Callithrix jacchus: one gene and its partner. The protein of the gene in region 1 purifies or fractionates together with the protein of each later gene. This does not show direct contact. Links are inferred from orthologs where the notes say so. Each region holds a gene or a part of one and is shown on either strand. Other genes may lie near its edges.

Region 1 (4,495 bases):
AACAAACCTGCATGTTCTGCACATGTATTCCAGAAACTAAAGTAAAACATTTAAAAAAAAAATTAAAGTCAGACATGTGCACACATATGTGGATGCTGCTATTGTTCTCTTCATTGTTCTTTTTATTACGATCCTTCATGAGTCACCCTTCCTTTCCAGGTAGTGTACAGTCACAACAATTAAGACATTTGCGGCCACTGCCTAACTCCCCAATAAATCTCATGTCACTCATCAGGTTACATGTTATGATATAGAATCACCAAACTGTATTCAACTCAGAAGAAAAATAATTGAGTTAGTAAGGGATTCAAAGAGAGATTAAGTCGTTTAGAGAACTACTGATAAAATTTCATCTAAAACAAAGCTATTTCTCCTAAGAAGTGATTACAGAAGCCCAAATGATATCCTTAAAAGATTCAACAGTGATACCTTAAATGTCTTACCTGCCAAAAAGCAGTTCCAATTAAAATGCAATAGTGTTCTCAAATCATCAGTTGTGCCACTTATATTTTGAAATGTCAAGTATATTATGTATGTACACCTTTGTGGGTTTTCTACATGGTCTTGCACAAGGTCCTGAAAGTATTGAAAATTCTTACCTGACATTATCCTAAACCACCTGGGTTTCTTGTCCCATATAATAAAGAGATAATATGCAGGCACCCCGGTCAGAGTGATGACGAAGCCAATGCCTGTGCTAAATGGGTCCGAATAGAGGGAAAGGGCAACCATGAAGAGGCACGTGAAGGAAAACAAAGCTGGGATGAACAGCGGGATCTGGAACACAGAACACAGAAAAAGCCACTTCAAACATGTTCAAGCCACAGAAGCTGGGTCTGAGATGAGCGTGTCAGTCATGAGACACACTTCAGTGATAAGCTGTAGTCATGTGACCAGGTGACAGGCACCAACGTGCCTCACCTTAGTAGCAAAATCTCTTTCATGGTACACAGATAATGTATCAAACATACTCCTTTAAATGTAACTCAACTTAATTTAAATTTTTTTTAAATATTTGGATAGAACAAAATCTAAGGATAAGAAAGGATATTTTTATTAGAGATGTTCTGTTGGAATTATTTTACTAGTTAAACACCATGACGATTTGTGATTTTGATTGAAAAAGATTGGCTCATTGATAATTATGATTAGAACTCACTTTAATGTGGAGTCAAGAGGACTGGCTGCTTGTTACATGTGAAAGTCTTTCAGTGCATATTGATTTTCTGTTGAGATTCACAATAAGAACTGACAGGAATAAAACAGGCCAACTCCTATTCAACCGCTAATAAAGATGCTGCCAGCATTAGGCAATGAATATTATTAGAAACAACTCCTGACAACATGACTGACATCATTATTTATGCTATTTCCTAAAAGCAAATAAATAGTGAGGTCAAATGGATCCATGAGCGTTCAAGTCTGAAGGAGATGACAAGCATCTTCTCCGGTCTCCAAAACGGAAATGCTTACTCATGGTAAATGGGCATTAGGTGGTAAATTTATAGGTCTTCTCTTTCCCTGTATACTTTACATTCCTATTCCTTTTAGAGTATGTAATATAGAGAAAGAGCATTGTAACAAGTCACAGCATTAAGTACTCAAAATGCCTGTTTTGTACAGCAGCCACCTTTTTGGAATTGGCATTAATGAAGTGTCTTCCTTACTCCTTGTCAGCAAGGCTGTCTACAACCCCAGCATAAAGACAGACAGAAGTCGCCCATACTTTGACTCTATCAGGTCATTGAACACATTCATGAAAACCCAACATGCCAAACATTTATTCATACCGTCATTTTTCAAAAATGTGAAAGACCAAGTTCAGCACATCACATAAAAATTTTGATGAACTATACTTTTCCCAACTTAAAATAAATCCAGTAGGAAAGCACTGCCTGAAAGAGTTAAACATTTTGACTCCGTAGGCTGCTGCCCCCAGCCCAACCTCCCCATCATCAAGTTATGACAATCGGAGGACTAGGTATTAGGTGAAAGATTTATGTAAACCCATCAAGATTGCTGAGGTTACCTTGAAAGGACGATGCATATCTGGGCATTTGTATCGAAGATAAATCAGCCCAGCAACTGCCAGCCCAATAAAAAGCCACCTGGCAAAACTGAGGAAATTCAAAAGACTGTCGAGGTCTCCAGAGAAGAGCATTATCATTGTCAAAGGGTGCTGAGGGGGAAAGGGAGAAAGGCCAAGCTTGGTGAATTCAATGAAAACACAGATGATAAATGACAATAACCTCGCTATGCATTATGATCTTTCTAAATGATTATGTATACTGATAAACCATCATTATGGTTAAAACCTGGATTTGACTCATCTATTTTCTATATTCTGCTGTCATAATCCATTTACACACCAGTAACGTTATGAGAGTGACATCGCCATTACACTTTATTCTAGTGGAATTCTATATGAATGTTGGTTCCTTTTGCATTTGAGAGAAGATCATATGTTTTCAAAGAGTAAAAGAAAGGGTATTTGATGACTCAAAATTGAAAGTCTCAAAGATTGGGATGATTAGTAAATAATCAATAATAAACAGTAAAAGAGACCCAACTGGACGATTTGCAGAAAGCTCTGTAAATGCTCTCTGATGAGCGCTTGGCTATCCACACACAGGAAGCACAGACACTCATAGGTGATTCTGTTGGCTCTTGGCAAAACTTGGCCTTTTTTCCTCCACATGTACTCTCCCCATGTGCTTGCCGTGTGTGACCCTCAAGACCACGGAGAAGAATGAAGCGCAGAGATCAGCTTAGCAATCTCTGCAGCTGCACATGCCAAGGACAGCATGACTGAGAGCAGAGGCTTAAAACGAAAGCCCTCTTCACGGAATAATACATTCTGTTCCCACAAGTGATGTTAACGTCCAGATTCTGCACAGAGAGTACGCATACTTTAAAAAGAAATTTCAAGGAAACATTCTGAAACAAATTAAATGCATGAAAAAAAATGTTCAGGGCATTCTATGGTGCTCCTGACAACAGATTCCAGTTGAGAGAAATGTTACAAAATCATCAGTAGAAATGAATATAACATTGCTAATGGGTATTTGAGGACTTTTACACCTTATACAGTCTTTTGTAGCTCACATTCACAAACACTTTTCTCTGCATAAAGAATTTTGCAACTCAAATTTACATTCTGGTGCTTTTATTTCATCATGATGCTGTGATTAAAAGTGAGACATTTGAGAGCAAATGGTAAAAGACATTCGCTCTCAGATGTCTCACTTTAGATCATAGCATCATGGCACTGTCTAGGATTTTATCCATGCTTTCAGTAATTTTGTGTGCTTTTCATTATAAGGTGCCTAGATCATACCTCTGGGTACTTTTTAGACTGTAGCTTTTTGTTCCACTTTCCTTAAGCAATTGGGATTTAATACTCTACATCATTTTCTGTGAGGTGCTACATCTATGAGAGGAGCCAAGCTAGTCATTTTCCTTAGACCTTACACATTTCTGCAAAGGTGAAAGAGAGGTGATGTGATTTTTGCCCCAAAGCATCAAACAGTCATCAGAAACATGGAGTAAAGAAAAGGGATGGAAGATACCCTGCCTCCCAAACTCCACCACAACATGCATTAGCAATGAATGAGAAGTGAAGTACTATCTAATGTCTGTTTGGAATTCGTTTTTGCTAACCTATTATTCAAGGTTATATCTATATATACTTGTTAATATGCATTACCAAAACAATAACAGCTGGCAGAGGAGTGTGCTTGTGGACATGAATCATGGAGAGAATTTCTGGAAGGTGACCCTCTCGAGACGCAACATAGAATAACCTGATGGGAGAGAAATGTGGTTGGAGTTGACTGCATGATTGATCATTTCAAAGGGAAAAATCCAGAAATCCCAGAGAAAACTTGCATCGTTTTCATACCAAGTTGTTCGGCATTTCTTAGGTGACTGCCTAAGTTTCACTTTTCAAATAAGGTGGAGAAACATCATAGGAAATCTAAATTTGAATTTTACAAAATCTGCCAACATTTTATTATTCTTTGAAGAGAAGGAATAGCAATATCTGACTGGGCATAGCTCTCCCTACATATAAACAGCTGATGGGGAATTTAGTTCTAGAGTCATAGTGTTATATGTGTGTCGTGATTCCAATTCAACAAACACACGCATATGCACATCCACAGGCACACATGCACAGGCAGCATTCGCATTTATCTGACTGGGTTTTGATCTTACATTAAAACATAAAGACTTTTACATCAAACTAAACAAAAGAAATACAGATGGTGGGGTGGTGATTTCTGATGTCTCTTACTTTACTTTTTTGCTGGCATCTTCAGAGAAACAGAAAATTATATTACCAGAAATAAAATGCCGTTATTAGACTCTGTGGAAACACTATTTTTAAAAAAGCCACATGTCCATCTTCCAAATAAACTATTAATAGGCAAGCAGTGCCCTCTAGTGGACAGAATAAAAAAATGCTGTTGATACTTACCAACATTTCAATTTTGCA
Region 2 (4,495 bases), on another chromosome or scaffold:
ATATGTTCTGCTAACCCATTCCGATTTAAGCTGAAAATAATAAAGGGTTACAGGTACTTAAAAAATCAGTATGTTTATAAAAGTAGTGATAGAAGGACTATAGAGTCCTTCTGTACAGTCACACACATACACTTCCTTATTTCTTTTATTTAAACTTTGAGTAACACGGCAGTATATATTTGGGTCAATTTTCCTTTTCTGGTAATTACATTCAGTGGTTTTTCCAACTTCATTCTTGTTGGGAATTAGTGATTTAGCCAGTGGGAGGTAAAACTTAAAGATTTCGGCTTTTCTTCCCCTCCCCCTGGATAACCAGTTACCCAAGAATGGCTTGGCCAATGTAAAGGTAAATGAGGATGGTATGCTTTATTTTTTAAATGTCATTGCTGTCACCAAATTACACATATCATTTTCTAAGATAATGAAAAACAGCCATTTTTACAAGTTGCAAAAAAATACTCTGACTTGGCAAGTTTACAGGCTCTCATTTTCTTGATCAACTAAAAACAATTTGCTGTAAGTTGTGTAGACAAAAATGTTGGTGTCTGACTTTTCCTGAAGGCACCTCTATGAAACTTTATTCTGTTGATTTTGTCCTTTTTAAAGCCATGGTTGAAATTGTAAGCCTGTCACACACTATTATTTGTATAATGCCTCAGACTAGCTTGGATAGTTTTTGTTAACTGAATTAATTTTGTTAAAAAGTGATTTTAGTAATTTTGGATGCCGTGTGGACATTACTATACAATGTGTTAGTGGAATAGCATCCAAGCCATCCCATCACCTTTCCTGCTGGGCAAATCCACTGCTGGTGCCTTTCCATTGTGTGTGATTATGGGTTACAGGACCACCATCTGAGAAGGTCTCCTAATGCACTGATCTTGTCATTAGTTGTTGTACAGTATTTCCTTTCCTCAAAATGACTGGAGCAAAGAGGTTATTCTTTGAATGGTTTTCTCAGACAGGGTATGTGATGCCATATACTATAATAAAATAAAAATAATAACTCATGGAACTATGAGAATTCATCAACTGTGGTCTGCTTAGTACTTTGATTTTGAACAAATCAAAACCTCTTTGGACCACAATTTTGACATCTGAAAAATTAAACGTTTGGATCATTTGATTTCTAATATCCCCTTTAGAATATCAGTGGCCTGTTTCTTTGTTGCCTTTCTTTTCTACCTTCTAGCTCCATGTGTATCTGCCCTTAAAGTAGAAAGATACAGCTGGGCGCGGTGGCTCAAGCCTGTAATCCCAGCACTTTGGGAGGCCGAGGCGGGTGGATCACGAGGTCATGAGATTGAGACCATCCTGGTCAACATGGTGAAACCCCGTCTCTACTAAAGATACAAAAAAAAAATTAGCTGGGCGTGGTGGCATGTGCCTGTAATCCCAGCTACTCGGGAGGCTGAGGCAGGAGAATTGCCTGAACCCAGGAGGCGGAGGTTGCAGTGAGCCGAGATCGCGCCATTGCACTCCAGCCTGGGTAACAAGAGCGAAACTCCGTCTCTACAAAAAAAAAAAAAAAAAAAAAAAAAGTAGAAAGATACGTGACAGCTATTGGCAAGGAAAATAGAAATAGACAATTTTGTCTCCCAACTGATATTCTTCTCATAGTCCAGGCAACTCCTGGTAGTACAAATGAAGAAACAGCTACCCAGAAGGAACAGTGGTTTGGCAACAGATGGCATGAGGGATATCTCCACACGCCCAGAGAAGACTCCCATTCAACAACAGGGACAGCTGGTAATGGATGGTTTAACAAGTAAATTTCGATGGCAACTTCCTTTTGGGTTAAATGGTAGACATTGAAGACATCGAACAAAAGGACACTGGAGGAATTGTCACAAGATGTTAGGTTCCTTCATAAATTATCTTGCAGTTAACACAGAGCCAAATCTTAAAGGGTCATAACAAGTTACCCAAACAGGAATAAATACAAGCCATTAGGAATAGGAACGGGAAGCACAGAGAATATGCCCTTAAGAATGTCTCTTTCACATCGAGTTTTGGGCTTCCTCTAGTGAGATTGTAGCAGAGGCCATTATAAAATACCCCCTTTTGTCATGCAAAGGAATATATTCTATAATGTGGGTCCAGAGTTACAATGTGATTTCTCACAAAGTATTTTCTTGTGATATAGCATTTTGTCAAAACTTTGAAGAAACAGAGCCAGACATTATGTGAAAAATGACACCTGTCTGATGTCATTTGGCTTTTTGGTCATGCCTGTTTGTAATTTGTTTTTTCAGTATTAAAAAGGCATCTTCTCTATTCTTGAATTGTAAGATTGTGGAAATTGGAATCAAGTCTTATCATCATCTCTAAGTGATGCCAGATAACTTGGCTCTGCAAGCACCCATGCAGAATTCTTTTGTCTGTGTGACATAGTATTGAAATCTGTCCTGCCTTATAGAGAAGGTGAATTCCATATTCTCAGTTCAGTGAGAAATAGTCCCATGTTTTTCTTTGCAATATAGAAGGTGATGCAGCATGTCCTTCTGGGGCATGGCAAGTTCTGAATGAATTCCTGGCAGATCAATGGATTCTTTGACTGTCTATGTGGTGTGGTTGTTGCTAAGAGGATGCTATTGTAATCTTTTCTACCTATACTTCTTCACTGGCTCAGAATGAAGCCAGGCATTTGCTGCTGTCTTACGTGTCATTTATGCCATAAGTCCCATTGTTAGAAGGTAATGCTTCTAATGGATTCCATTCATGCTTTTGAGATAAACGGCATTGACTTTCATGTTGATCACATGGAAAGCTGTTACTTGATTTCTTTCCTGAGATCACTTCCAGCCTAAGGTGCATTCGGCTGGAATATGGCTGTCTCAGTATGACATCATGCACTTGGGCTCTTATACTTCTGCTCTCAGGGGACTGTGGCAGCATGGCATGGGTCCAGAACTACTTCTCCTTCATCTTCCTTTGATGTCTGTAACTCATCCTCTCTGCGCTGCAGGAGTTGTTAATGCTTTTGTGTCCTCCAGTTCACATGCTGATTGCTAAGAAGAAAATGAGCATGAGTGAACTCGAACCTGCTGAAGCATTCTGCATTTATGCAACTTCCTTGCCCTCTATACAAGGAAGATGGTTGCACTGTCTTGTTAAGAGAATCAAGTCTTTTTTAAAAATAAAATCAATGTACCCCTGACCAAGCGTCCATTAACACTTTGACAATTGCTTGAACTGCATGATCACAACAGCCTCAGCCCACACCAGCCATTCAACCCAAGGAACAACGACATCAAGCCCAGAGGACAGTTCCTGGACTGATTTCTTCGACCCAGTCTCACATCCCATGGGACGAGGTCATCAAGCAGGAAGAAGGATGGGTAATAGCCTCTGAAATTTTTATATATTATGTTTTTTTGAAATCCACTGAGTGACTGTTGACTATTTTTCTGGAAATAAGCCCTTGGTTTTAGACCAGTCTTCTTTCCTGAAGGACTTGAGGTTCTTCAAAAATTTGTTTTCTTGGTAGGAGTGATATGCATATTCATCTGGTATGAACACTTGAGCTGAAGGTAAGGAATTTGTCAGGACAGTTGGCAAAAAAGACATTTATTGTCAAGATATATCTGGGTGAGGCAGTAAGTAATAGATGTGAAATGAATGTTACTAATAATGAATGCTAAAGAAATTCTGAGAACCCCTCCTCACCTACCATAGCATCACAGAAAGGTGAACTGGACCTGATTTATAAAAAATTAAAAAAAACTGGATAGTCAGAGAAAGGAAGTGGGTGGAGGGGTGGGGGAATTTTTCTAAGAAGGAGACTCATGTAAGGAGAAACATGAAGGGAGAAAAGCCAAGGAATGAATATTTCAAGTGAGTGGATCCATTTGTCACAAAGGAAGATATGTTTGAATGGCTAGGCCCAGCACACATGAGTTTGCACATGGCAGCTGAAGCTCTGAGGACACCCATGGGGGAAAACCAAGCCAGGCAAAGATCTTCGGAATCAATATTAAGTCTCTGTACTGATGAAGAGAAAGAGATTCCATTAAATAGATGAAGATGTCAAGGACAATACAATTGGCTTCAACTACACAATGGTGTGGTACCTCTTGAAGGACTCTACTGATAAGAGGGAAGATGAACAAGAGTCTAGAGCCCATCATCAAGTGGGACTTCTTCTGGGAGAATGTCCATTTGTGGCTTTGATTCAGGTTAGCCCTTGCTCTTGTTTGAAATCTGGGATAGGAGAGTCACCACATTTTTGTCCTACAAAGATCTTAAATATTTTAGTGTTGAAAGGCTGCAGTGCAGACATGAGTACCCAGTATTCTGGTGCTTTGCTGGAACTGATTAGCTCTTTCCAGAGGCAGTGATGTGGATGGATTTTGACTGAATTGGAGAGCCAGGAATATTGATGGGGTTTGGCCTCTGTGTCACTCAAGACCTGTTATTTCAGCAGAATAGATCTGTGATAACTATTAAAAACAACATTTGCAAGTATTCCAGTGAAATTTCTGCACTACTCAAC

What was found.
Region 2: the proteins of SLC7A11 (region 1) and CD44 purify together in Homo sapiens (affinity purification with western blotting; 3 studies listed by BioGRID and IntAct, with this or other methods). This does not show direct contact. The link is inferred for Callithrix jacchus from reciprocal best matches to the Homo sapiens genes SLC7A11 and CD44.

Annotation. Positions count from the first base shown.
Region 1 is NC_133504.1:58,856,055-58,860,549, reverse strand, and holds part of SLC7A11 (cystine/glutamate transporter), read right to left. Parts: intron 3,804-4,495; coding exon 3,707-3,803; intron 2,180-3,706; coding exon 2,030-2,179; intron 778-2,029; coding exon 600-777; intron 1-599. UniProt on the Homo sapiens protein: Heterodimer with SLC3A2, that functions as an antiporter by mediating the exchange of extracellular anionic L-cystine and intracellular L-glutamate across the cellular plasma membrane.
Region 2 is NC_133511.1:100,549,501-100,553,995, forward strand, and holds part of CD44 (CD44 antigen), read left to right. Parts: intron 1-1,620; coding exon 1,621-1,749; intron 1,750-2,882; coding exon of another isoform or gene 2,883-2,938; exon of another isoform or gene 2,939-3,181; intron 3,182-3,212; coding exon 3,213-3,341; intron 3,342-4,495. UniProt on the Homo sapiens protein: Cell-surface receptor that plays a role in cell-cell interactions, cell adhesion and migration, helping them to sense and respond to changes in the tissue microenvironment.